Linked DNA regions of Mus musculus. The protein of the gene in region 4 interacts with the protein of the main gene of each other region in a pairwise test. Links are inferred from orthologs where the notes say so. Each region holds a gene or a part of one and is shown on either strand. Other genes may lie near its edges.

Region 1 (4,107 bases), on a different chromosome or scaffold from region 4:
ACGAGACAGATCACCTCAACATGGTCTTCAGCAATAAGACACTGGAGCATATCAATGCCATCCTACTGGGTGCCTACCGCACTCCTAAGTCGCCAGCTGCCAGCCCAAGTCCCCCACCCCCTGAATAAAGACCTAGCTGTTATAAATAAGTGCAGGGTGTTTGTTATGGGTTAAGGGGAAGGCACTACTAGGTTCCTTAGATAACCTGCATCACCTGGCTGATGCATGCTTGATCTGGGCTTAGGGGAACACGGGGTTCAGTGGGCTTTGCTAAGGCCCCAGACTGGACTGACTTTGAGATATGTAAATAGATTTTCATTGTCCTAGTTGAGCTGCTCAGGAAGCTTGCTCTGTGGCTTCCTTCTTAGGGGCCCAGGACAATATTCAGATCTGGGTATATGGCTGTTAGAATGGGGACACAGAGAAATAGGATTTGAAGTCGACTTTTGAGTTCTGGTTGGATACAGAAATTTATAATAAAGCATGGTGGTGCACGCCTTCAACTCAACACTTGGGAGGCAGAGGCAGGCAGATCTCTGTAGGCCACTCTGATACACACAGTTCCAGGACAGCCAAGACCACAGAGATTCTGTCCCCAAAACACAAACAAATAAATAGAATTTAAGATATTGGGGCTGGGGATTGTTAATGTAAGAACTTGGATTCCATGACAGCCGGAGCTATACAGAGAAAACCTGTCTCGAAAAAACAAACAAATAAATGGGGCTAGAGAGATGGCTCAGCGTCTGTTGAAAGAAGCTGTTTTTCCAGAGGACCCTGGTTCAATACCCAGCACCCACATGGCTGCTCACAAGTGTCTGTAACTCCAGTTTTAGGGGAGCTGACACCTCACACAGACATGCAGGCAAAACACCAACGCACATAAAATAAGCCATAAAAAAATTAAAAAATTAGGGCCACGTGGTGGTACACATGCCTTTAATCTTCTCATCCAGGCCAACCTTGTCTACAGAGCTTATTCCAGGGCAGACAGGGCTACACTCAACTACACTGAAAAACAGTTTTTCAAGCGCCCCCCCCCCCCAAAAAAAAAGTTTAGGATCTGAAGAAAAGACAGTTCATCTAAAGAAGATTTAATGTGAGACATTAGAGAGAGAGAGAGAGCAAGCACTCAGAAGTTAAGAGCATTTTTTTGCACTTGGAGAGGACCTGAGTTTGGTTCCCAACGCCCACGTGGTGGCACGCCCACATGGTGGCTCATGATCATCTGTAACTTCAGTTCCAGGGAATCTGATGCCCTCTTCTGACCTTGGTGGGCATGTGGCATGCACATACCACATTCACTCACACACATAACTAAGCCTGCAAGGGCTTCATTTCTACTTACTTTTAAGGGGTTATGTGTGTGAGTGTTTTACCTGAATACATGTATGTGCCTGCAGTGCTCAGGGGGTGTCAGCAGAGATGGGAATGGAGGATCTAAGGCGCACCATAGGTCTGGCAAGGAGTGTAATAGCCCCTTCCTCAAGTTATCTGGGACTAGCAGCAAAGACGAAAGTGAAAGAGAAGATGCACACAGCAGCCAACAGCCTCTGAACTAGGGTGGGGGTGAAAGCGAAAGTAGGAAGCGTCCGGAAAAACCCCACAGAAGCCAGGACAGACGCCTCTGCTCCCCCTGGCTGATCCACTCATCGAGACCCCCGCATTCTCACTTGGCCTTCCTGCGAGATGCTGAAGCAGGCAGTGGAACCCACAGGAGGCTTCTCTTTCGAGAACTGCCAGAGGTGAAAGGGGAGTGGAGTTCTAGTCACGAACTGCTGGTGCCTTGTTTTATTGGTGGAGTGGGGGAACCCTATGTTGGGTGACCAAGTAGGGGCTTAAGCCAGGAGATGAGTAGAAATGGGTTTGGGGACCGGTTCAGGGACCCTCCCTTGATGCAGAACTGAAACGCGAGTCACCCCAATGTTTCCAGGAATGCGTCCTTGGAACACGTCCTTCCGGGACTTCGGGTTCCTCATGCACGCAAGACCGGGACTACCATCGCGGGGCTTGTGTTCCGAGTAAGCGGGGTGATAAGGGCTGGAGGGCTAGAAGGGCAGCCACTGCGGAGATCAGGTGGGCATTAAGGCTGGGCTCTGCCTCTGCAGGATGGAGTCATCCTGGGAGCGGACACGCGGGCCACTAACGATTCGGTTGTGGCGGACAAAAGCTGCGAGAAGATCCACTTCATCGCCCCTAAAATCTAGTCAGTATGCCCCGGACCAGTCCCCATATTCAAACATAAGCTGCACTGTCGCTCACTCCCTACTTTGTCCCTGCACGTCCCTGTCCACATCCACCATCCCTTTGTCCCTTAGCTGCTGTGGGGCTGGAGTAGCTGCGGACACTGAGATGACTACGCGGATGGCAGCTTCCAAGATGGAACTACATGCGCTGTCCACCGGCCGTGAGCCTCGGGTGGCCACGGTCACCCGTATCCTGCGCCAGACGCTTTTCCGGTGAGCAAGTGGGGCTAAGATGACCCCTAAACGGGGTATCTGCAGGTGGGTGGAGTTGACAGGAGGCGGGACGTGGAGTGGGGGGGAGCGGGGCTGCGACCTGCAGGGAGACCGGAAGAAGACAGACCAAGCTGAGTTCCGGAAGAGGCAGCGTCAATTGCAGGACGCCAGGCCAAAGGAAGGGGTGGGACTCAGACCAAAAGGCAGTGTAATGGGCGGGGCCTGTCTGCTAACATTAACCCTGCCTGCTCCTCCACAGGTACCAAGGCCACGTGGGGGCATCACTGGTCGTGGGCGGGGTTGATTTGAACGGACCTCAGCTCTACGAGGTGCACCCACATGGTTCCTACAGCCGTCTGCCCTTTACTGCCCTTGGTGAGCTCTTCCACCCTTTAAATCACACGAATCCTGCTCCTGCAACCCCACCTTCAAGGTTTGTACCTCCGCAGCTAACAACTGACTTCGGATGCCCCTTCCCACCTGCAGGCTCTGGTCAGGGTGCAGCCGTGGCACTGTTGGAAGACCGGTTCCAGCCAAACATGACGGTGAGCGACTTCTTCATGCTCACTGGCGGGGAGTGCTGAAAAACCCTAGCCAAGTATAGAAATAAGAAAGGCTTGTAGGTGTGAAGGGGACAACTGAGTAGGGACTGAGTAAAGTTGAAGATGGGAGGGCCAGTCAGGAACCAAGCTTAGACCACAGAGAGAAGCAGAAGCTCACAACGGATCATTACTGAAGGAAGAGGTAAATGATGTTTGAGATTGGACTTGGGAGTGGGATAGAAGTAAGTGACTATGTGCTTCAGAGATAACTAAGGCCCAGAGAGAAACACGTGACAGACTGGGTGGGAAGACAACTTGGGGGGGGGTACATGTAAGCAACACTGAGAAGTTTGTACAGAGGACAGTGAGTGGAGGGCACACAGTTTTGGAGGAGAGGGGGTCAGAAGCCAAGGGACTGGAATTTTCAATGGATGGAGAGAAAGGAGGTTGAGCTTACATAAAGAGCAAATTGTCTAGACTTCAAGATTAACAAGTCCCCTGGTTAGAGTGTGGTAACACTAGGTCCATTTAACCTCATTTCCACTACCCAGCTGGAGGCTGCGCAAGAGCTGTTGGTGGAAGCCATCACAGCAGGGATCCTGAGTGACCTGGGCTCTGGGGGCAATGTGGATGCCTGTGTGATCACTGCAGGGGGTGCCAAGCTGCAGAGAGCATTGAGCACCCCCACCGAGCCTGTGCAGAGGTAAGAGCACAGGAAGGGAGGGCTCTGTGTGTGTTCACACGTGTGCATGGACAGGCTGCATTCTAAAAGGCTGGCCCTCCTCCCTTCTAGAGCTGGCCGTTACCGATTTGCTCCTGGAACCACACCTGTCCTGACCCGGGAAGTGAGACCCCTGACCCTGGAACTTCTTGAGGAAACTGTGCAGGCCATGGAGGTGGAATGAAGTGGCCTGAGATGTAGAGTTTGGAATGAGGGTGAATAAATCCGGGAAACACAAACACTTAAACAGAAGGCTGTGTCTTTCTTGAGAGGAGTGAGCCAAGCATCTGTAGGAGTTTTGTGGCTGAGGTATTCACCTAAGGACGACAGACCCAGTTCTTGGCCTGAGGTCCTCCTCCTCCTCACCTCAGGGATCTATCCGTGC
Region 2 (3,500 bases), on a different chromosome or scaffold from region 4:
TATGAGAACTTTAACTCTGAATAAGAGACCCAGGAATTAAGAGATAATAAAATCATATTGACATTTCTGCACAAGTTAGGAGTCAAAACTGACTGTACTATTTAGAGAATTATATATACAGTGCCTAGCAGCTGGCCCAGCAAAGAAAGGCATTTGTACCCTAAGTCTGACAAACCTGAGTTCAATCCCTAAGACTCACACAAGAGAACTCAGACTACACTGCACCCACACACAACAAAATTCTATATGCACGTGTATATATATATATATATATATTTTTTTTTTTTAGATAAAAACATCACATCTGAAGCAGTTCTATCAGAGAGAGTAGGGGGCCTGTACTGTTTGTTATTCACAGTTGTTGGATTACAGGTCAAAGCCACTACACTCCTCAGAAAAGATTATTTTATACAAACGACCAATGAGACTCACGTGGACTGAGAAGCGTTCTCTTCAAACCAGCGGGCATGCCGGATGGCTGCTAAGGCGCTCTGCAACACCTTGATGTCCACTGAAGACAAGTACAACAGGCTAAAAAAACTTTCCTATTATGTGTGCAGTATATTCAATCCCAATCAATACCCATCCAGAACTGTGGCAAGGCTAAGGTAGCAAGCCATTTGTCCAAACACTGTTGTTCCTCCCAGCCAAATCTGAAAACATGCAACACACTTATCTTTTCCAGTAATCTATTTCCCTTCACAAGTATTTATACAAGCTTTTACTTTTTTTCTTTCTCACTCTGGCCCCACTCACTCTGGCCCAAAGGTTTATTACATGTGAGTACACTGTAGCTGTCTTCAGATACCCCAGAAGAGGGCATCAGATCTCATTATGGATGGTTGTGAGCCATCATGTGGTTGCTGGGATTTGAACTTGACCTCTGGAAGAGCAGTCAGTGCTCTTAACTTTTTTTGTTGTTGTTGTTTTGGGGGTTTTCCAGACAGGGTTTCTCTGTGTAGCCCTGGCTGTCCTGGAACTCACTCTGTAGACCAGGCTGGCCTCAAACTCAGAAATCCACCTGCCTCTGTCTCCCGAGTGCTGGGATTAAAGGCGTGTGCCACCACTGTCCGGCAAGCTTTTACTTTTTATCTTTTTCTTCAATTTTTTTTTCTTCTGTAATCCTTTTTAAGACTTTGAAAATGTTGGAGATGGGCTCTATCTATGCTTTGATTCAATCAGGAATCTGCATGTCCAGATGCTGAAGGTCAATTAGAGTTGCTCCAGTAGGATGCAGAGAGGAATGGAAGAGAATACCAACCAGCATTGTGAGATTTCGGGTGAGTGGCCACTGGCCACTTTCCTGACTGGGCATAAGGTAGCAGGGGGAGGTTTAGGAGTACCCAGCCTTTGAGGCAGCCAAGGCATTTAAAAATAAGCTAATGTATCTTTCATTTTCAGATCCAAAAGATAGCTCCATCTGCCAGGAGCCAAAGTGGTATAGCAAAAACTCCCACAACAGCCAAGTCACTAGGAAGCTGGTAAAACTAACTAGAAATGACAGGGAAGGTAAAACTCCTTTACAGTTGACAAGATACTAACATTTCCAGAAAGTGCCAACGCTTTGGCTGTCTGTACCTCCTAGCCCCCACCCCCATATTTCTCAGCAATGGGGAGGGGGGAGACTTACAATGGAGTTCTGGATCCAGTTTTCGGAGATTGGGGGGCACTGTTGTAATGAGAATTTTCACCGTAGCATCAGAAGAGCTAATTTCAAAGCCAGTTTCATTAGTCAGCATGGTCAAAACTAAAAGAACAAAATAATCAAGATGTAAAACATAATTGTTCTGTTTTGAATTTTTTAAAAATTATGTTTTATTTAGAGCATATGAGACTGGGAACACTCACACTCCTATAGAGAGCAATGGACAGCCTTTAGGAATCAGTTCTCTCCTTCTACCATGCAGGTCTGATGGAATGAATTCAAGTCATCAAGCTTGGTGGCAAGCACTTTTTTTTTTTTTTTTTTTTTTTTGGTTTTTCGAGACAGGGTTTCTCTGTGTAGCCCTGGCTGTCCTGGAACTCACTCTGTAGACCAGGCTGGCCTCGAACTCAGAAATCCGCCTGCCTCTGCCTCCCAAGTGCTGGGATTAAAGGCGTGCGCCACCACCGCCTAGCTGGCAAGCACTTCTAACCCACTGAGCCATCAAGCTTTTGAGACAAGATCTCAAGTCGCTCAGGCTGCCTCCCAACACATTATGAAGCCAAGGATGACTTTGAATTCCTCCTCCCTCGACCTCACCCATCTTGAGTAGAAAGAAGCATGTGCCAGCAAAGCTGGGGTATGTAATGCTGACTACTGATCCCAACTCTACACACACTAGACTCACACTCTACCAACTAAGCTGTATCAACCCTGCCTTCATTTTGTTTTGAGACATAAGGTCTTTCTATGTATACAGTTCAGGCTGGCCTTAAATTACCAATCCCCTGCCCAAGTTTTCCAATGCTGGGGTTATAGGTGTGCCACATCTGATTAAACAGGTCAGTTTTCTGGCAGTGGGTTATTTAGGTTTTGAGACAAGAATGTATGTGCATGTGTATATGTACTGAAGGCTGGCCTCAGACTTCAGATCTTCCTGCCTATGCTTCCAAGTACTGGGGTTAATAAGCATGTACCACAAAACATCAGTAAGAGCTTGGATACCACTAAGTAGAAGGAGGCAGCAAGGAGACGATCTCTAGCACTAGACCAACCTACCCACATAAAAAAGTAGGGGAGAGAGCGGGACAGGACAGGACATGAGACCTCAAGCAACAAAGGGCCTGAATATGAAGCTCAGTGGCAAACTGACTGCCCAGCATATAAGAGGTGTGGTGTTCAACCTCAGCACCACACACACACACACACACACACACACACAAGCAATACACCTCTAAGCTGAGGGTTATTTCTGAATTAAAAACAGCATTCAAGAGTTCAGTGGTGGGGCTGGTGAGATGGCTCAGCGGGTAAGAGCACTGACTGCTCTTCCAAAGGTCCTGAGTTCAAATCCCAGCAACCACATGGTGGCTCACAACCATCCGTAACAAGATGTGACGCCTTCTTCTGGCATGTCCGAAGACAGTTACAGTGTACTTACGTATAATAATAAATTAAAAAAAAAAAAAAAAGAGTTCAGTGGTGCATCCCTATCTATGATCCTAGCACTTGGGAGGCCAAGACAGGAAGAATGTAATTTGAGGCCAGCCGGAACAATAGTGTAAGTTTATCTCATAACCCACCTTTCATAATAAAATAAAAACTGAATACCGGAGAGACTCCTGCTAACCCCTAACCCACACTGCCTACTATTTGTAAGACCAGCTGCTGTGGCCACCACTACATGCATATTTAGCAACAAACTCAAATTCAAACCTTCTGAGGGATCCTGTGCCCTTAGGCTTTCCACGACTTTGTTCCCCAGGGCAGCAACAGCTTCCACTAGATTGGAGAAAAAGGACATAAACGTTACAGTAATGTATTTCATGTAGATTTCCTCTATTTTTTTTAAGATGTA
Region 3 (4,056 bases), on a different chromosome or scaffold from region 4:
TTTGTAGATCAGGCTGTCCTGGAACTCAGAAATCCTCCTGCCTCTGCCTCCCAAATGCTGGATTTAAACCTGTGTTCCACACCACCCCAGGAATTTTTTTTTTTTTTTAATGTATATGAGTACACTGTAGTTGTCCTAAGACACACCAGAAGAGGGCATCAGATTCCATTATAGAGCATCAGATGCCATTACAGATGGTTGGGAGCCACCATGTAGTTGCTGCGAATTGAACTCAGGACCTCTGGAAGAGCAGTCAGTGCTCTTACCCACTGAGCCATCTCTCCAGCCTTGTGTTTTGTTTTGTATTGGTTTTTTTGAGACAGGGTTTCTCTTTGTAGCCCTGGCTGTCCTGGAACTTACTCTATAGACCAGGCTGGCCTCAAACTCAGAAATCTGCCTGCCTCTGCCTCCCAAGTGCTGGGATTAAAGGCGTGCACCACCACTGCCCGGCTTACTGAACCCTTTTTAATGAGACGAGATCTCACTGTGTAGCCATGGCTGTCAAGAACTTGCGGTATGAACTCCCCATCCCTTTCATATAGAGCGACATTGAAAATGTATTTCTGAGCCAGGCATGGTGGCACTCATTGTCAAAACTAACACTTGGAAGGCAGAGGCAGGCAGACTTCTAATAGATCTGTTCGAGGCCAGCCTGGTTTACAAAGTTCCAGGTCAGCCAGGGCTACACAGAGAAACCCTGTCTCAAGAAAAAAAAAAAAAAAAAAAAAAAAGTATCCCTGGTTCCTTCGCCCAGAAAGTCTCTAGCGTCAGAGTGACTGCCCTTACTTTTCATGGTGTCCATGATGTGGCGTTGCTGGAAGTTTGTCAGTTTAGACTCCTTCATCATAACTGCAAAATAAAGCCGGGGCTGACGTCTGGAGCTTCAGCAGACACACCTCATCCCACCAGGTCCCGCCCTTGCCCGCCCCCCCCCTCCATTCTGCACTGAGCTCCTCCACTCCTCTGCCTACTCCATCTTCTTTAGAGTGCCTGTCACTTAAGGTTCTTTTCCTTTTCTTGTATTTATTCATTAATTTATCTTTTTTTATTTCTCTTTTTATTTATTTGTTTATTTATAGAAACGGTCTCACTTTGTAGCCTGGCTGTCCTGAAATTTGGTATGTACATTGGGCAAGCCTCTAACTCACAAAGACTCACCCACCTCTTTCTTCAGAGTGCTAGAATCAAAGACATGAGCCACTATATGCAGCTTTTCTCCCTTTAAGATTGTATGTGGGCTGGAGAGATGACTCACATATCAAGAGCATATATGATGCTCTTCCAGAGGTCCTGAGTTCAATTCCCAACAACCACGTGGAAGCTCACAACCATCTGTAATGGGATCTGGTGCCCTCTTCTGGCCTGCAGGCATACATGCAGGCCGAACACTATCCATAATAAATAAACAAACAAATCTTAAAAAATAAAAGGTCGTGTGTGTGTGTGTGTGTGTGTGTGTGTGTGCGCGCGCGCGTGCGTGAGTGTGTAGCTATGCGTGTATGGCTGCCTGTGGAGGGCAGGGAAAGGCACTGACTCATAGGAAGCTAGAGTTACACATTGCTTTGACCCACCTGATATGGTTGTGGGGGATTGAACTTGGGTCCTTGAGAATAGCCAGTGCTCTTAATCTCTGAGCCATCTTTCCAGTCCTTATTTTATTTCAAGGATAGGTTCTTACTATATTATCTAGGCTAGCTTTTCTTGGGCTCAGGCAATCCTCCCATTACATATGCCTAAGACACACACACTTTTTTGGTGACTGGCTAACATGGGTGCTGGGGAATGAGCTTTCAAAGGGCAGTACATGTTCCTAACCACTGAGCCAGCTCTCCAACTGTAACACACACAGACTTTTTTGTGTATGGTGTGCTGGGGCTGAAACCCAGACTCCACATCTGCCTAGAATATACTCTGTCACTGAGCAACACCTTCAGCTCTATAATTTTCTCCTGTTCATTTTTCTTGTTACCCTCCTGTGTTATCAGTTTTCTGAGAGCAAGAGTTGTCCTTTGCAATCCTCTCAACACTCTATTCCTAGTACCTAGGACAATATCCAAATCACACATTAGGTTTTTGTCGTTGAATAATTAAGTGCATACATGCTCATTCATGTAGCAGAGGCTGGAGCTACAGTTGTGAGCAGAAACAGGCACGTTTCTTTGCCTGGTGGTGTTCACCATTTAGAAGGTGACACTAAACACCTCTAAGACTGTATAATGTCTAAGCCTGGTGAAGGGAATTGAATTTGGTACTGTGAAGGTCCCACTGCAGTGAGGAGATAGGCTTCATTGAAAGTGCATGTAAAAGATGAACTAACCATTCCAAAATTCTCCATCTCTGGTCTTTGATTCTTCCCCGAACCTTTCAGAATCCCAAGCTCTTAAGGAAAAACCGCACCGCTCGGGTCGTTGATCCCCTAATGCACTGACCTCTGAGCAGCTCACAAGTCCCCGGCGTGTAACCTGCTTGCTTACGGCAGCGGCGGAACCCGGTTCCTTTGGTCACCGAGTCCACCCTTTCCTGGGAAGCCATGGGAGGGCCCTAGGAGGGAGAGAAGCAATGACTCGCCCTAGTTACGCTTCGCAATCCGGACCTCTCATCACGAGCAACCTGGGAGTCTGAGAAGCTGGTGCCCGACCCCTCGGCTCCGGACAGCGCAGTGACCACAGTCCCTATCGTGACGGTCCGGGGAGGAGCGCTCACCTTAGGCGATGACCTGGGCGTGACAGAGCCCTCCGCACGGAGAAACTCCAAGGAGCTAGAGTGTCAGCGTCCTCACTAATCGCTCCTTGTTACCATGGTAACTAGCGACACGCCTCCACGCACGCGCATTAGCGTCTGGTCGGCCGCTGCTTCCCGGAAGTAACTGCGCCTGGGTCACGGCGCAAGCGCAAACTACGCGTGGTGCGGCGAGGGGCAAAGGCGCGCGTTCTCTGCTCTGCGCCCCGGGCGGAGAAGGCATCATGTCAGACAACGAGGACAAGTGAGCACGGGCCACGGAAGGAGGGAGGTCGTGGTGCGAGCAGGGCTCTTGGAGCACAGGCTAGCCCAGCTGCTGGGTTGGTGGGGCGAAGTCTTCAGAACTTCCTACCTCGCGGAGCAATGGGGACAGTGGTCAGAGAGTTCAGTCCGTGTGGCCCCTGTCCTCTGAGCGCTCTCTTTCTGGAAGGGAATGCCAGAGGTGTGTAGCTTGTGTAGTCGTGGAAGTAGGAAGGAAAAAGCAACCCAGAGAATGGCCTGGAAGGCTGGGAGCAGACGCGGGCTTGGGCTAGGTGTGATAGTAGCAGAGGTGGCAGAAGTGGGGATAGACTCTAGAGAGCATGAAGTTTAGTGTTGTTTGAGGCAAGGCCTCACTCTGAAACCCAGGCTGCCCGGGAATTCACTATATAGCTAAGGCTGGCTTTGAATTCGACACAGTCCTCTGCTTCAGCTTCCCAAGTGTTGATATATCTGGCATGAACCACCAGACCCAGCTGGATTATGGACATTTTTTTTTTTTTTTTCCGAGACAGGGTTTCTCTGTATAGCCCAGGCTGTCCTGGAACTCACTTTTGTAGATCAGGCTGAACTCAGGAATTCACCCACCTCTGCCTCCCCAAGTGCTGGGATTAAAGGCGTGCGCCACCACCACCCGGCTGGACATATTTTTATTTTATTTATTTGGAGACCAAATATAACCTTATATCAGGTGGTTCGAACATAGAGATTCATCTACCTCTGCTTTCCAGGTGATTTTTGTTCTTTTTTTTTTTTTTTTTTCCTGAGACAGAGTCTTTCAACATAGTCCTAGCTGTGTCTGGAAGTCACTGTGTAGATTTGGCTGTCCTCAAACTTACAGAGATCTGCCTGCTTTCACCTCCTGAGCACTGGATTACAGGCGTGCGCCACCATGCCTGGATCCTGATATATTTTAAAGATAGAACCTAAAGGATTTCTTGATACGCTGTATATGTTAATCAAGAGAGAAGATGAACTATGGTAGTCCTGATAGATCAGTCAGAATTCAGAGTCTGGGCGTGGTGGTTCACACCTGTAATCCTAGCACTTGGGAGGCTA
Region 4 (3,002 bases):
TTCAAACAATTATTCAAGTGGTTCTAAAAGAATTAAAATATCAGAGGCTAGAGAGATGGTTCAGTGATTAAGAGCACTAATTGCTCTTCCAGAGGTCCTGAGTTCAATTCCCAGCAACCACATGGTGGCTCACAACCATCTGTAATGGGATCTGTAACCCTCTTCTGGTGTGTCTGAAGACAGTAATGGTGTACTCATATACATAAAATAAATAAATAAATCTTTAAAAATAAAAAGAATTAAAGTATCAAAGCACATGGCTATTATAACAAGAGTCCAGCTAGTATTTATCAAGCCAAATACAAACAAGAACTATGAAGATATTTTATCTGCACACAAGTTTGGTGATGATATAAATGCTCTATAAATACTAATGAAAGCTGGTACTTACACTGATCCGCACAGTGAGGTGGCACACAGGTGGGTATATGCTCAGAACCAAGTCATCCACACTAAGAAGCAGACAGACGGAACCATTAACCACAAAAAGGGGGCAGAGCTCAGCGTGGCTGTTCCCAGCACACAACCAACTCAGTTCCTTAATTTAAGCAGGCATGCAATGCAGAAGAAACTCAACCAATGTTTACTGGGATAAACATGTACTATTTAGGAAGCTGGGGGGAAACGTGAGTGGTTCACAGGATGGGGAATTAGTTCTGTCAAAGACATGAGGATTCAAAACCATCAGTTCAGTGATACTGACAGAGTTCATCAATGGAAACTAAACATGTGAGGCAAAAGGACCTCTTCAGAAGAGGCCACTACTTTTAACCATGTAACTACATTTATTACTACTAAGCAGGAAAATTAACATCAGGTGCCTCCCCAGCAGGATATAAAGGAAAGTACAAAACACGCTAACTTTTGACCCAAAATGTTTAACTTTGTTACTACTATGAGAAAATATTCTTATAAATCCAAATTGTTGTGTAGCTACCATATGTAATTCTGAAATGCCAATGTCAAGTCAGACCACAAGGGACAGAGACTAAGATTGTAAGAAATTAAACAAATGCCAAGAAAATGTAGAAAGAGATCTTAATGAAACTCAGAATGTAGTTAAGACATTTTGAGACAAATAGAGAAATCTAAGCATTAGTTTTATTATTACATCGAATGTCAAATTTCTTGAATGTGACTCCATGTCTGTTCTTAGGAGGTGGCTGATAAAATATTCACGGGTGAAAAGTCACTTATGCCTTTATGATTTAGGAAAAGCATATCATCCCTACTTATCAAGAAGTAAATAAATACACGGGGGAAAGGTGAACAGAAGCCAAATAAAGGATGTACGGCTACTGACTCAAGTATTTTTTCAATTTTCCTTTAGGCTTGAAAAATTTTAAAACACAAAAAGCTGGAAGCAGCCCTGGAGCAAGGGCATCAGCTCAGATCCCAATGCTCCTGTTTTCCCAGGAGCAACCCACGCTTACCTGGGGCTGATCTCATCAGAAATGTCCACAATGTCATCCAGCTGGGCCACCTCATCCTTCTTTCCATTCTCAGCCACCAAGATCCGGATTTTCTTGAGTGAAGCTCGGGATGCTCTCACCAGCGCCAGGCACGGGATTATGAGTTCTTGATCTTCCTCTGACCAGTATGAGTCCCGATTGCTGGGAAGCCCTAACACACCATCCTCATCACTGTGGCTGTCGGAGTTGTCTTCAGAATCATTCAAGAGGCCGCTGTACGGGTCACATTCTTCTACAGCCTAAGACATACCATCATATTTGCGAATACAAACACACCACCACCATCAGCCACCTGCTTTGCTATATCGGCTACAAAACTGAATCGATTTAGAAACCAACATTCTCATTCTGCTTGTCCAGCAATGAACAGAGGAGGCAATGAGAAACAAGCCAAACACAGTGGGAGACAGAGGGCAGGACAGGAGTGAGCGTGGGACTATTCAGTCAAGCTGCGGGCAACCCCTGCCTTTATGATCAGTTCTCAAGAAAGATGGGTAAGTGCCCTCACCTGCTCCATTTCTTCATGTGCATCTTTCACAAAATCCACACTCTTGGTCAGCATCAAAAGGGCTGCGGCTTTGTTATCTATGAGTGAAGAATCAGAAGCACTAGAATTAGAGGAGAAACCTGACCGTTTCCTTAAGACCACAAAGGGCAACCAGCACTGCTTTAATTCTCTTATTACACCCTCTGCCTAGAAAGTGGGTTAAACAGGCTTTTTAATTTCACCTAAAACTGTCTCATAGTGTTTATTACCACATCCTCTTGATAGCCACTCTCAGTCTGCCTGGCTCTGTTTTATAGCTCTTTCAGCGAGCTCACCCATGCTGTTCCTGGCACAGTAATAGGAGAGCAACTAGAGAGAGCAACTATCTGTTCAACTAGAGAGAGAGAGCCACAGTAAGAGGAGTCGTCTGAATTGAACAGTTGTGCTCAGTGGCACAGCGCTTGACTGGCACACCCTGGGCTCAATCCCCAGCACTGCCAAAACCAAACCAAACATGAGCATAAGGAATGGCAAAAAGTATTAAATCAATCAACTAATATCAATGAAAATAAACTATATGTTATTTCACTAAAGTCTTCACAGAAATTAAAATATATCTATAAGGCACAGCTGGAAGCTAGACCCGAGAGGCCTCTCTGCTCTGGCCAGCAGGTAATAGTTTACTCCTACCCACCTTTTGGGATCTCAGGCACCTGTTGACATGCGACTGAGACACTATTGCAGGAAATCAGGTCACCATTCTCAGTGCTGGAGAAAGGAATTAACAAGGACATATCAATAACCTAGGTTTCTGTCTCCCAATAAGGTCCAAGATGAGTGACTTTGCTGTGAGGGCCAATTTTCCCTCCCTGAGTGAAGGAACCCCACTAACCGTTAGCCCACACTGCAGCACCCACTACCTCTGAGATGGAGCAGTAAGAAGCACTTCCAGGAGCTGAGCCATGCCGTCCACGATGTCCAGGGCAGCATTCCGTACCAGCTTTCTCAGGGTGATTCCTATGGCCAAACCCAAACTCGAAGTT
Region 5 (2,718 bases), on a different chromosome or scaffold from region 4:
AACACCGACATGATAGCAGAACTAAGGGTTCAGTTGCTCTCTTCTGGCCTTTAGCAGTACTGCATGCATGTAGTACACAGACATAGATGCACATAATAAAATTAAAGGGGGGCCCGGGCAGTAGTGGCACCCGCCTTTAATTCCAGCACTTGGGAGGCAGAGGCAGGTGGATTTCTGAGTTCGAGGCCAGCCTGGTCTACAGAGTGAGTTCCAGGACAGCCAGGGCTACACAGAGAAACCCTGTCTTGAAAAACAAAACAGAAAAGGAAAGGAAAGGAAAGGAAAGGAAAGGAAAGGAAAGGAAAGGAAAGGAAAGGAAAGGAAGCCCTAAGAGGTTCAGCATTACATGAGGAAAAGTGTGCCAGAGGGGCTGCAGACAGAGCTCTCAGTTAGTAGAGTGCTTGGCTAATACATATAAACTCCTGTGCTCCATTCCCGGCACCATACAATACAATTCAATTCCCAGCACATACTGGACATGGACCCCTGTAATCCCAGCACTGCGGAGGTGGAGGGCCAGGAGTTCAAAGCCGCGGTTGGGAATGGTCAGCAGTTAGTGCCTGCCGTGCAGGTGTGAGGGTCAGAATTTGAATGCCCACAAACCCAGATAAATGCCAGCTGGATGCGGCGGTCTGCCTACTTCTGCCCTTCGAAGGCAAGGATCCGAAGTCAGACGCGTGCATACGCGCGCGCACGCACACACACACAGACTATATTGTGAGTTCAAGTTCAAGGTCAGCTTTGGCTACAGGAGACCTTGAAAACATGAGAACGGGGATAAAAATTCAATAGCCCTACCTGCTGAGCCATCTTACCCACTTTTTGGGTTTCATGGGGTTGTTTCCGGTGAAGGGTAAACATGCTGTGTGCTTTTAACATTATGCAAAGTATGCTTTACTTACTGATTTCTTGATCTGTGCCAGATCAAGCTGTTTATTATATACTTACATGTTTCAGTGTGTAACTCGGCTGGCTCTATGGCCCGAGCATATGGTGTTACAAGCATGAGCCACTGCATCCTGTCAGGATAGCTTTGATACAGAAATCTGAACAGCATTGGGAGGTGTAGCGCAGCAGACATTGGGAGATGACGAATCCTTGGCTCAAACCAAAATTGACTACAAATCCCAAACAACACATAACCCAAACCCAAACAACAACAACAAAAACCAGGGATTTGATCCTTAGTACCACAATTAACAAATGTGACGAGCGCTTGCTTGCTTGCTTGGAAAAGCATACAGAATCACGCTCTGGACTGTAGCGCGAGACTCAAACTACCAAGACGACCCTCCCGGCCCTGAGCGCGCAGCCTGCGTCCGCATCTACACGTGCCAAAGGGAAGTGCTTTTGTACAGCCACGCCTCCTCACACTTGTCTCACTGGGTGCAAAAACTTCACTTTTTGGCTCGTTCCCCCACCCCACCCCGCCCGCTCCTCACCCACCGCAGCACATCTCATGTTGTGGAATGAGAGCTGGAGGTTAACCCAGGCTGCAGCTTCTGCACAAATAGCCCGGGTCTTGGAAGGTCTACCCTGGGCTAAGTTACTAAGCTCCCCTCTACTTTTCACGAAGTGGTTGCTCCCACTCCACCCGGAAGTGCTTACAGCCGGATCCGGGGGATGAGCTGGTGGCAGGACATGGACCAGCGTGGCGGTGTCTCCAGTCCGAGCGGTGCACTGGCGTCTGCCGAGCCAGCTCCTGCCTCGGTGACCCTGGCGGAGCTCCTGCACCTGGTACAGAAGGGCCAGGAGGTCCCGGGCCTGGAGAAACGCCACATCACTGCGACCCACGGTGAACCCACCGCGTCTCTGCTCCCTCGGAGGCCCAAGCCCTGGGAAGATGCGGGCTCGGCCGCCTCACCCTGCACCATCGCCCTAGACACGAGGACGCAGCCTCCGACCATCGAGGAGCGATCCCGGGGCAGTCCAGCCGCCCAACTCGACGGAGGCCCAAGGGTTTCCTGATGCTCGAGGTGTTTCCCGAGGGCATGACTGGGTCCTACACAAACTTGAGTCTGGACACTTGCCACCTGTGGGACTCAATGTTGCCTAGTAATTTTGTTTTTGGATGCCAAATTTCAACTTCATACTGTGTCCTAGTCCATTTGTGTAACGGAAATAAGTTTCCCTTGTCACTGTAGGACAGCACAACCTCCTGGACCCGCTTGTTCTGATGATACCGATAAACCGATATCCAAAAGGCATTTCTAACTTGGCAGTCGTTTGGGTTTGATGAAAAGGTTCCTTCCCAGAGTGATACATAGAAACCCTGGTTCTTGGAGTTGGGGGACTGGAGAGAGGGCTCGGTGCTCTTCCAGAGGATCAAGGTTCAATTTCCAGCAAACATGGTGACTCACATTTTAATGGGATCTGACGCCCTCTTCTGTTGTCAGTGTGCTTGGCCACATAACTAAATCTTAAAAAACCCTGACTCTTGGGAGCAACTAAGGTAGTGCGAGCAGAGGCAGTTTGGTAGTTGGTACCCCCATAGGAGTTGGCTTTCTCCTCCCACCATGCACCAGACCCCCCCCCCCCCCCCCCCCCCCCCGGTTAAGCTCTGGCTTGGCAGCAGGTGCCTTACCCAGATTCATCTCCAAGGCTGAAACTAGTAGTTGGGAATTAAGCCCTGGGTTTCTGAGGGAGCATTCTTTCCTCCCCGCAGGACTTGTGAAACGGTGCCAGATGCCCAGGGGACTGGGCGAACGGCTCTTTTTA
Region 6 (4,079 bases), on a different chromosome or scaffold from region 4:
AAGAAGCTAGTTTTATGTATCGATTTTCTCCCGTATCCCTGGAAGGGAAAGCAAACGGTCAATAAAGTGGAAGTGCTTTTTAAGACAACACAGCAAGCGGCAGAACAAAGTTATGGATCCGGGTCTCATCTGGCCGCATGCCCTGCGTTTTGCCTGCTCAACAAATACTTATCTGCCCACTGTCTGGCAGGCACAGAATAAAATCTCTGCCCTGTGGAGCTTACCTTCCTGCAGGGAGAGGCTGACAAGCAGAATGTGGTGAATTATACAGCGAGTTAGATGGTGTAAGTGCTGCAGGAGAAGGTGGGAGAGTAAGGGAGAGTAGGTTTGGTTTTGCCCCCGCCCTTAAAATTTGAAATCAAGAATCAGGGCAGGTCTCCTTGAGTAGATAGCATTTGCAGCAAGATGTGGGGGAGGTGAGTTTCTCTGACCGAAGCTGGCCAGCACCATTCAAAAAGCTGTGAAGCCGGTGGTGGTGGCGCACACCTTTAATCCCAGCACTTGGGAGGCAGAGGCAGGCGGATTTCTGAGTTCAAGGCCAGCCTGGTCTACAAAGTGAGTTCCAGGACATCCAGGGCTATACAGAGAAACCCTGTCTCGAAAAACCAAAACCAAAACCAAAAAAAAAAAAAGGCATACTCTTGAAGGGGATAAAAGGGCAAAGGGATCAGGCGAGAGGCAAACACATCAGTAGGAAAGCAAGAAAACAGATTGCGACAGTGGAAACAGTCGTGTGGGACCTTGAGAATAGTCTACGTTTTAGGCGTTTACTCAGAGAAAACGGCAATCTTTGATTAACTTTGTGCGGGTGAAGATGTAGGTTTTGAAAGGAAGAACAAAACGGGCAGTGGTGGCGCACGCCTTTAATCCCAGCACTTGGGAGGCAGAGGCAGGCAGATTTCTGAGTTTGAGGCCAGCCTGGTCTACAAAGTGAGTTCCAGGACAGCCAGGATATACAGAAAAACCTAAAAAAATAAAAAATAAATAAATTAAAAGAAAGAAAAAAGAATGGAAGAACAAGAGGAGACTAGAGCATCAGCTAGGGTTTCGCAGAAAGTTGTTTTGCTGTACTGACTCGGTGACGCTGCAGGGCGGCTCCGACCCAGCAGAGGGCAGCAGGTCTGAAAGCGCGCCTCCTGCGGCCGGGTGCTGTCTTTACTTTCCCGACTTGCTGGAGTGGCAGCGGTCTCAGCCAATAGACGCGCATGTTTATTGAGTGAGGCAGGACAGTCGATGGAACCAGCCAATAGGCATGGACGACGTCGTCTTCGGGTTTCGAGGACCGCCTGGTTCTCCTATAAAAGGCACACGCGGGCATGCGGCCCGTCTCTCGCCAGGCGTCCTCGTTGGAGGTTGGGGGGTTGTTTTGTTGTGGGAGGGCGGCAAGAGCGCGGGGACGTTGCGGGTGGGAGCGATGGGCTCGGGAAGGATCGCGGCCGGGCTCTGCCCGTCCGGTCTACCGCCTGGCTTGTCGGATCGCCCGCGCTGCTGGCGGCCGCAGCCCGGGGCCCAGCTCTGGCGTGGCCGGCTTGGCCTAGGCCTGGGATCGGGGCCGGTGTTGGGGTTACCGGGCTCAAGCTGCCCCCTCTCTCTCCCCAGTGACATCGTCTTTAAACCCCGCGTGGCAATCCCTGACGCACCGCCGTGATGCCCAGGGAAGACAGGGCGACCTGGAAGTCCAACTACTTCCTCAAGATCATCGTAAGTGTGGAGCGGGCCGGGGACGCGCGGCTTCCGCCTCCGGGTCTTCCCGGGGCGGTCGTTGGCCACGCGCTTTAACAGAGTTTGGGCATCCTGGGGAAGTTCTGTAGTCTTGGGATCTCCCCCCCCCCCCCCCGCGTTCCAGAACTAGCTCGCTCACCCAGTTTTTCATCTCGTCGAGCCCTTCGCGTTTGTGCAAAGGGCTGAGACTGGAGTGATTCATCTTGTTGCCCATCTGAGACCTGCCAGTCAGGCTGCTGTTGAGTGACTTAATTACAAAAGGCCTTTGAGGTGGCTTTGAACCAGAGCTACCAGACTTTGTAGGTACCAGTCTGTTTTAGTTAACTTTTCTTTTTTTTTTCCGAGACAGAGACAAAGATTTTTGGGTCTGGTAGTACCTTTTATATTTCACAACCTAAGATCCCCCGACCTCTCTATAATTTGTTTTCTGTGCTTTTTAAGTCTGTCTCTTCCCTGATCAGAGTCACTTTGGTCACCCAGGCACGCCTTATTTAAAAAGTAAAGCTTAAGATTTACTTGAGGCAAGTCTTCCCCCTATAGCTCTGGCTGGCCTCGGATTAGCAATTAAGCCTTACCTGTCTTTACAGGTGTGGCACCACACCCAGCTAAAAGTTAATTTTTGGCTGTGACAGTAATTTTGTGATACTCGTAACCAGCAAGGAAGCTGGATCAGATAAAGACAGACGTTGGGCTCGGGTGGCTGGCTCCTAGCGAGAAGTGTCACACCTAGGGTGAAGCAATGGGGAGGTAGAGGTAGCAGGGTTTCGGGTTTTGCTGGGTATTTTTTGTTTGTTTTCCTCTCAATGTAGTTTTTCCTGGCTTCCTTCATAGCAACTTTTGGATGATTATCCAAAATGCTTCATTGTGGGAGCAGACAACGTGGGCTCCAAGCAGATGCAGCAGATCCGCATGTCGCTCCGAGGGAAGGCCGTGGTGCTGATGGGCAAGAACACCATGATGCGCAAGGCTATCAGGGGCCACCTGGAGAACAACCCAGCTCTGGAGAAACTGCTGCCTCACATCCGGGGGAACGTGGGCTTCGTGTTCACCAAGGAGGACCTCACTGAGATTCGGGATATGCTGTTGGCCAATAAGGTAAGGGGCTGGGACGATGAATGAGGATTTGGCCATTTCGGGGCTTTCACCGATGGAGAGGCATTTCACCGTCGACTACCTCTGTTCTGTTTAGGTGCCAGCTGCTGCTCGGGCTGGTGCCATCGCCCCGTGTGAGGTCACTGTGCCAGCTCAGAACACTGGTCTAGGACCCGAGAAGACCTCCTTCTTCCAGGCTTTGGGCATCACCACGAAAATCTCCAGAGGCACCATTGAAATTCTGGTGAGTAGATGGCCTGCAGTGGTCGGTCCTTTGGGCTGGGCCTCCTGTGTGTCCAGATGATAACTGTCCTGCTGTTCTCTTCCTCAGAGTGATGTGCAGCTGATAAAGACTGGAGACAAGGTGGGAGCCAGCGAGGCCACACTGCTGAACATGCTGAACATCTCCCCCTTCTCCTTCGGGCTGATCATCCAGCAGGTGTTTGACAACGGCAGCATTTATAACCCTGAAGTGCTCGACATCACAGAGCAGGCCCTGCACTCTCGCTTTCTGGAGGTATGTCTGCCCAGCTCCTTCCTCCCATGCTGAGTGTGACAACAGATTCGTGCTGGCATCTTCAGTTGTTCCATCTTCTCATCTGCAGAAAATAGAGTTGGGCAGGAGGTCATGTGCTGGGACTCTAAAGGTTGTTAGCCTGTGATAGCAAAACACTGCCTGTGGGGGCTGTGTCTAATCCCAGCGGAGGCAGGCACCCTCTTGTGAGTTTGAGGACAGCTAGGTCTCAAACAAAATAGAACATTGCTGGTCGGTGAGATTTTGAGTATTGAGTCAAGGAGAGATGAATACAATTTAATGCTAACAATTTAAATTGTTATTACTCTATCTTTTTAAAGACTGTCCCACACCAGGCTTTTGCCATTAAATTGACCTTTTTTGTTTTTTGATTTGTTTTGTTTTGTTTTGAGGCAGGGTTTCTTTGTATAGCCCTGGCTGTCCTGGGCTTTGTAGACTAGGCTGGCCTTGAACTCAGAAATCCTGCTTTTGCCTCCCAAGTGCTGGGTTTAAAGGTGTGCACCACCACTGCCCAGCTTAAGGAAAATTGTTTCCTTGAGTGAATAACTTACTGAAATTAGACATGCATCTATAGATTTAGCATTTTAATCTTAACATTTTTTTGAGTTATTTATATAGTTTATATTTCTAACTCCAACCATGCCCACCCCCACTCATAATTCAAGATTGGGAAAAGGTTTCATTACTGGTAAATCACATCTGGAAATGGATTAATATTCTAATAGTGCTC
Region 7 (4,270 bases), on a different chromosome or scaffold from region 4:
CTGTTGGCTTTATGCAGCCAGCAGGAGGTGACAGGACCCAGAAGAGTGCTGGCTTCAGGAGTCAAGGGAGAGACCCCAGCTGGAAAAGGGTGGGGTCTGAGGAGCAACAGTGAGGGGGTCAACCCTGGTCACACAGACAACGTCCCTGCATGCATGGCCTTTGGGTCCTTCACCCTGCTACAGTTAGTGAGTGAAGTGTACGGCCAGTCTCTCCACACCCCAGCTACCTCACAGAGCTGCAGAGCACTGGGGATAAACTGGGCTTGCTGATAGAAAGGGAGTGTTTGCAAGTGCTACACACAAATCAACCATTATTATTATAGGGGGTTGGGAGGTAAACACTGAGGTCAGGAGAGGGTCAGACAATCCTGACACCAGGAAGAGGCCTGAAGAGTCTCTAGGAGTCTCACTCCAGGCTGAGGAAAGGAGAGAGGAGGGAGAAGAGAAATTCTTTTTTGAGGACCGATAAGAAGGCCCCATTGTGGTGGCACGCCAGGCCCCTTGATTTCAATCTTGGGGAGGCTGAGTGTGGCCAGTTAGAACCAACCACCTCTAACTCCAGCTCCAGAGGGTCTGACTTCCTCTTCTGTGTCGCCACCACGCCACCCCACAGGCATTTACATGCACAGAGACATATAATTAAAAATAAAAATATTTTTTTTAAAAAAAGTCAAAACCATAAAAATGAAAGCATGGGAGAAAGTGACCCAGCCTGGGTTGCTGTTGTTTGTCGTCGTCGTCTTTGTTTCTTGTTTTGTTTTTTTAGCTTGCTGGCAGACTACAGGAAAGAAAGATTGAAAGATGCGTAGAGCAAGACCCGGCAGAGGAACTGACCTAACTGTGGAGAGGGTGATCTACAGTCTGTCCCCTCCTCTGAGATGTGCTTTCTTGGGCGCCGCCAGCAGGGTGTTTGTTTGAGGAACAGACAGGGGCAGGGCCATCTCGCAGGAAGGAAGAGAATTACGCGGGGAATTTGAAACAAAACTTCCCAGGGATCGCAAAGCTCGGCAGTCCCAGCCTATCGCTTTGACAAAACTACTTATCGTGGGAGAGAAGTTAGGCGGGGTGAAGGACTGAAAGGGGCGCGTGCCCTGGGTGGCGGTGACCTGAACCCCCGCAGCATCCTGCACCCTGACCTGCATGCTTGAAGAAGAGAGCTTGGGAGAACGATGGACTAGGCGCGGTCGCCTGGGACCAAGCAGCCGGGATGTAGGGAGGCGGGCTGGTCGGTAACAGTGATCCGGTGGCGACCTGGACCCCTCTGCGGCGAGCCAGGTGGGGGGTCTACGAACGATGTATGGGCGTGGCCAGGCCAATCCCAAAGCAGGATTTACAGTCACGAGAGAAAAAGACCAATCGAAATCCGGGGCGGCGGTGGTGGATGGCTGATAGGGCCAATGGGCTGCAAGCGCCGGGGCGGGGCGGGGCCGCGCGGAGTTTCAAATCGGCTGCGGTGGGCTAGGAGAGGGTGTTGATCTTCGGGTCCGGGTATCGAGCAGGGAGGTGAGCATGCGGGGTTACCGAGGGGCTTAAGGAGGGGGGTGGGGGACGGTCTCACGGGGAGCTCTGAATGGGGAACGGGTCAGGAGCTCTGGATAGGACCCACAAGACAAAGGGAATGTCTAGGAGTTGCAAACGCCCCATCGGATCCGAGGCCTTGGCTGGATTGCTAAATCTGCTCCGGAGAGGAAAATTTGTGAAAACAGCATACTGCTGGTGCCCTGCGTAAGCGCCGAGGCTCCGTGACCTGTGTGCCACTCCACTTAGCCTATGGGGAATAGGCTAGGATGGAAAGACGGACAAATTGCCGCCTTGCAACGGAGGCAGCTGCTGACCATGATGCCATTGGTCATCTTTCTGGCATCCACAATTGCCCAACAGGCCTACCCCGCGAGGTTCCACTTCATCTCTTTCCCAGTTCCCAAGGTCCCTGGAGCCTTGGAATGGGGTCAGGGAGTACTTTGATGACCTTTTGACCTCCCCAGGATCTAGCGGGCAGCGGAAACTGGACCAAGCACATGGCGTCTCAGTGGCAGGGCATGAGGACCTCTGTGCGCAGACGATCACTCCTAAAGGAGGAACAGCTAGAGAAGAAGGAGGTGACCCGGTCTGCTGGGGGTCATCCGGAGACCGGTCCCTTGGGCTCCCTGTGCAGACAATTCCAAAGGAGGCTGCCTCTGAGAGCGGTCAGCCTGAACCTCGGTAACGGCCCCTCCTGGAAACGCCTGGAAAGTCCAGAGCCAGAGCAGCAAGGTCTTCAGGCTGCAGCTCGCTCAGCCAAAAGCGCCTTGGGTGCCATGTCCCAGGTAACAATGACACCACCAGCCGTCTGTTTACAGAAGCGTCCTTGGTGTTGACTGTCCCTATCCTCAGGGAGACCCCAGGAATATAGACTCCATGGGGTCTTGGGGTTTGATTAGGTTCTTGCCATTTTCCCAGAACCCCGGTCATTCTGGCACATAATAGTTTCCCAACAAATCAGTAGGTGAATAAAGTCATGGAAGAAATTGGTGTTCCCCATGCAAGGTGACCTGCCATGTCCTGTGATAGAAAATTGCAGGAAATGGCTATCTATAAAGAGATACCAGTCTCAAGCTTAGTGGATAAAGACTTCCTAGAATAGGTGACTCTTCCAAGATCACTCAGGAAAGGGGAGGTGTATGTAGGCACAGGGCCAGTGGGATGCTGTGAGTGAGTCCAGCGTGGATGCTGAAGAGAAGAGTCCCCAGTGTGAAGCTAAGCAGTCAGTATAGTGAGAGAGGTGATCCTGTGTGCTGACCCCCATTTAAAGTCTCCCAGTCACACTCTTACACCTTAGCTGTCAACTATTTGGTAGAAAAAGGCAGAGGAGCGGGGCTTGCAGAAAGGGTGCAACTTCCTGAGCGGTTCAGAAGGCAGATTTGAGGGGTGGTGTTTGTGTGTGGTGTGTCCAAGAGCCTTCGAGCAGATATCTTCTTTTAATGTTTTAATATTTATCTATGGGAGGAGCGCTTATGCAGTGGTACTTGTCTGGAGGTCAGAGAAGGAATAAGGTCTCCCTCCACCGTGTGGGTTCTGGAGATCACACGAGTTGCCTGGTTTGGTGGCAAGAAGATGTACCTGTTACGATATCATGTTGACCCCACCTAGGTCTTTAAACCTGGAGCTGGAGATGTGGGCAGGTGTCCCCTGGACAGGACAGAAGCTATGAGAATGAGCAGACCTCTAAGAAGAGAAGGGGGAATGGCCCCTGGCATCTTGCTGGCATTCTGATGGTGTAGGGAGAGAGCAGAGGCCTCTGACGACTCCACAGAGAGGTCTCCTTGCCAAAGTCTAGCTCTGACTTGGAAGAGCCCTAAGATTGCTTTCAACATCGCTATAGCTCAGAACAATGAAATGTGACAGTTTGTCTAAGGTCACCCAACTCATGAAAACTTATCTCGGGCCTTGCTCCAACTTCTGGGTTCTGGTTTGCCAAGGCAAAGACAATCTAGCAAGGCTGTTTGACCCAGCCACATGTTGAAGATCCAAGGGTTGGGACTCAGCCCTGTAGATTATTGGGAGCCATGGAAGGGCTCAGAGCAATTAAGTGTTATGAGCAGACCTGTCATTGAAGTATGTTAGACTGAGATGGAGGAGGGAAGAGAAAGAATAGGACTAAGGTAGGATCCAGAGCTGGCATCCAGAAAACTGAGCCTCCCTCACTCTCTGAGTTAGTCTCTGCCTGGGGGCTCAGATGTAGAGTGGTCTTGCTGCTACCTGCTGAGTTACCACACTGGATCTCAGGAAGGTCTTGGAGGAGAGTACCATCTCATGGGGAGTCATGCTGTTGCTCTTGGCTTACTGTTGCTGCTGCTTAGTAACAGCAGACTGTGTTTGTGGGGCCAGCCCTGGGCTGGAAGAATGGCTAGAGCCTGGTAGCCCACCTTGGTCCTATCTGTGCCAACCTTCTCACATGAACCCATCACAGAGGATCCAGGAGTCCTGTCAGAGTGGCACCAAGTGGCTGATGGAGACACAGGTGAAAGTGAGAAGGAAGCGAGGAGCCCAGAAAGACAGAGGGTCACCACCACCCAGTCTGAGCCAGAAGAACACTCGGCTATGCAGGGCCAACCGGGATGCTAGAGTCGGGGGACATCTTCGCCTCTCTGGCCAGATGGGTCCGCATGCCCATCGCCGTCAGCGGCTAAGGAGGGAGTCTGCCCTCCGGAGCCCCTGTTCCTCCACAGAACCTCTCTGCTCTCCCAGGCAAGTAGTCGTCTGAGCCCAGGAGGACCTCCCCTTCTGTCCC

The links.
Region 1: the proteins of Ccndbp1 (region 4) and Psmb10 interact in binary tests that used the Homo sapiens proteins (3 or more experiments, as listed by UniProt). The two-hybrid records come from large-scale screens. The link is inferred for Mus musculus from reciprocal best matches to the Homo sapiens genes CCNDBP1 and PSMB10.
Region 2: the proteins of Ccndbp1 (region 4) and Ilf2 interact in a two-hybrid assay, tested with the Homo sapiens proteins (2 studies listed by BioGRID and IntAct). The two-hybrid records come from large-scale screens. The link is inferred for Mus musculus from reciprocal best matches to the Homo sapiens genes CCNDBP1 and ILF2.
Region 3: the proteins of Ccndbp1 (region 4) and 1700088E04Rik interact in binary tests that used the Homo sapiens proteins (3 or more experiments, as listed by UniProt). The two-hybrid records come from large-scale screens. The link is inferred for Mus musculus from reciprocal best matches to the Homo sapiens genes CCNDBP1 and C22orf23.
Region 5: the proteins of Ccndbp1 (region 4) and 2310039H08Rik interact in binary tests that used the Homo sapiens proteins (3 or more experiments, as listed by UniProt). The two-hybrid records come from large-scale screens. The link is inferred for Mus musculus from reciprocal best matches to the Homo sapiens genes CCNDBP1 and PEX39.
Region 6: the proteins of Ccndbp1 (region 4) and Rplp0 interact in binary tests that used the Homo sapiens proteins (3 or more experiments, as listed by UniProt). The link is inferred for Mus musculus from reciprocal best matches to the Homo sapiens genes CCNDBP1 and RPLP0.
Region 7: the proteins of Ccndbp1 (region 4) and Pimreg interact in binary tests that used the Homo sapiens proteins (3 or more experiments, as listed by UniProt). The two-hybrid records come from large-scale screens. The link is inferred for Mus musculus from reciprocal best matches to the Homo sapiens genes CCNDBP1 and PIMREG.

Annotation. Positions count from the first base shown.
Region 1 is NC_000074.6:105,935,593-105,939,699, reverse strand, and holds Psmb10 (proteasome subunit beta type-10), read left to right. Parts: upstream 1-1,307; 5' UTR 1,308-1,689; coding exon 1,690-1,745; intron 1,746-1,933; coding exon 1,934-2,021; intron 2,022-2,108; coding exon 2,109-2,206; intron 2,207-2,318; coding exon 2,319-2,459; intron 2,460-2,718; coding exon 2,719-2,834; intron 2,835-2,945; coding exon 2,946-3,004; intron 3,005-3,552; coding exon 3,553-3,704; intron 3,705-3,794; coding exon 3,795-3,906; 3' UTR 3,907-3,972; downstream 3,973-4,107. Other genes in the region: Lcat (phosphatidylcholine-sterol acyltransferase precursor), read left to right, coding at 1-128. UniProt on the Homo sapiens protein: The proteasome is a multicatalytic proteinase complex which is characterized by its ability to cleave peptides with Arg, Phe, Tyr, Leu, and Glu adjacent to the leaving group at neutral or slightly basic pH.
Region 2 is NC_000069.6:90,482,701-90,486,200, reverse strand, and holds part of Ilf2 (interleukin enhancer-binding factor 2), read right to left. Parts: intron 3,425-3,500; coding exon 3,359-3,424; intron 1,748-3,358; coding exon 1,631-1,747; intron 512-1,630; coding exon 433-511; intron 17-432; coding exon 1-16. UniProt on the Homo sapiens protein: Chromatin-interacting protein that forms a stable heterodimer with interleukin enhancer-binding factor 3/ILF3 and plays a role in several biological processes including transcription, innate immunity or cell growth.
Region 3 is NC_000081.6:79,138,452-79,142,507, forward strand, and holds the start of 1700088E04Rik (UPF0193 protein EVG1 homolog), read right to left. Parts: upstream 2,801-4,056; 5' UTR 2,704-2,800; intron 2,542-2,703; 5' UTR 2,533-2,541; coding exon 2,430-2,532; exon of another isoform or gene 2,318-2,429; intron 850-2,317; coding exon 787-849; intron 1-786. Other genes in the region: Polr2f (DNA-directed RNA polymerases I, II, and III subunit RPABC2), read left to right, coding at 2,964-2,983.
Region 4 is NC_000068.7:121,011,408-121,014,409, reverse strand, and holds part of Ccndbp1 (cyclin-D1-binding protein 1), read right to left. Parts: intron 2,977-3,002; coding exon 2,880-2,976; exon of another isoform or gene 2,852-2,879; intron 2,728-2,851; coding exon 2,654-2,727; intron 2,058-2,653; coding exon 1,981-2,057; intron 1,712-1,980; coding exon 1,434-1,711; intron 453-1,433; coding exon 392-452; intron 1-391. UniProt on the Homo sapiens protein: May negatively regulate cell cycle progression. May act at least in part via inhibition of the cyclin-D1/CDK4 complex, thereby preventing phosphorylation of RB1 and blocking E2F-dependent transcription.
Region 5 is NC_000083.6:46,771,190-46,773,907, forward strand, and holds 2310039H08Rik (uncharacterized protein C6orf226 homolog), read left to right. Parts: upstream 1-1,445; 5' UTR 1,446-1,623; coding exon 1,624-1,968; 3' UTR 1,969-2,218; downstream 2,219-2,718. UniProt on the Homo sapiens protein: May be a peroxin involved in the PTS2-mediated protein import pathway.
Region 6 is NC_000071.6:115,558,188-115,562,266, forward strand, and holds the start of Rplp0 (60S acidic ribosomal protein P0), read left to right. Parts: upstream 1-1,279; 5' UTR 1,280-1,352; intron 1,353-1,599; 5' UTR 1,600-1,647; coding exon 1,648-1,701; intron 1,702-2,553; coding exon 2,554-2,817; intron 2,818-2,911; coding exon 2,912-3,058; intron 3,059-3,145; coding exon 3,146-3,331; intron 3,332-4,079.
Region 7 is NC_000077.6:72,041,032-72,045,301, forward strand, and holds the start of Pimreg (protein PIMREG), read left to right. Parts: upstream 1-1,470; 5' UTR 1,471-1,503; intron 1,504-1,985; 5' UTR 1,986-2,018; coding exon 2,019-2,306; intron 2,307-3,949; coding exon 3,950-4,227; intron 4,228-4,270. UniProt on the Homo sapiens protein: During mitosis, may play a role in the control of metaphase-to-anaphase transition.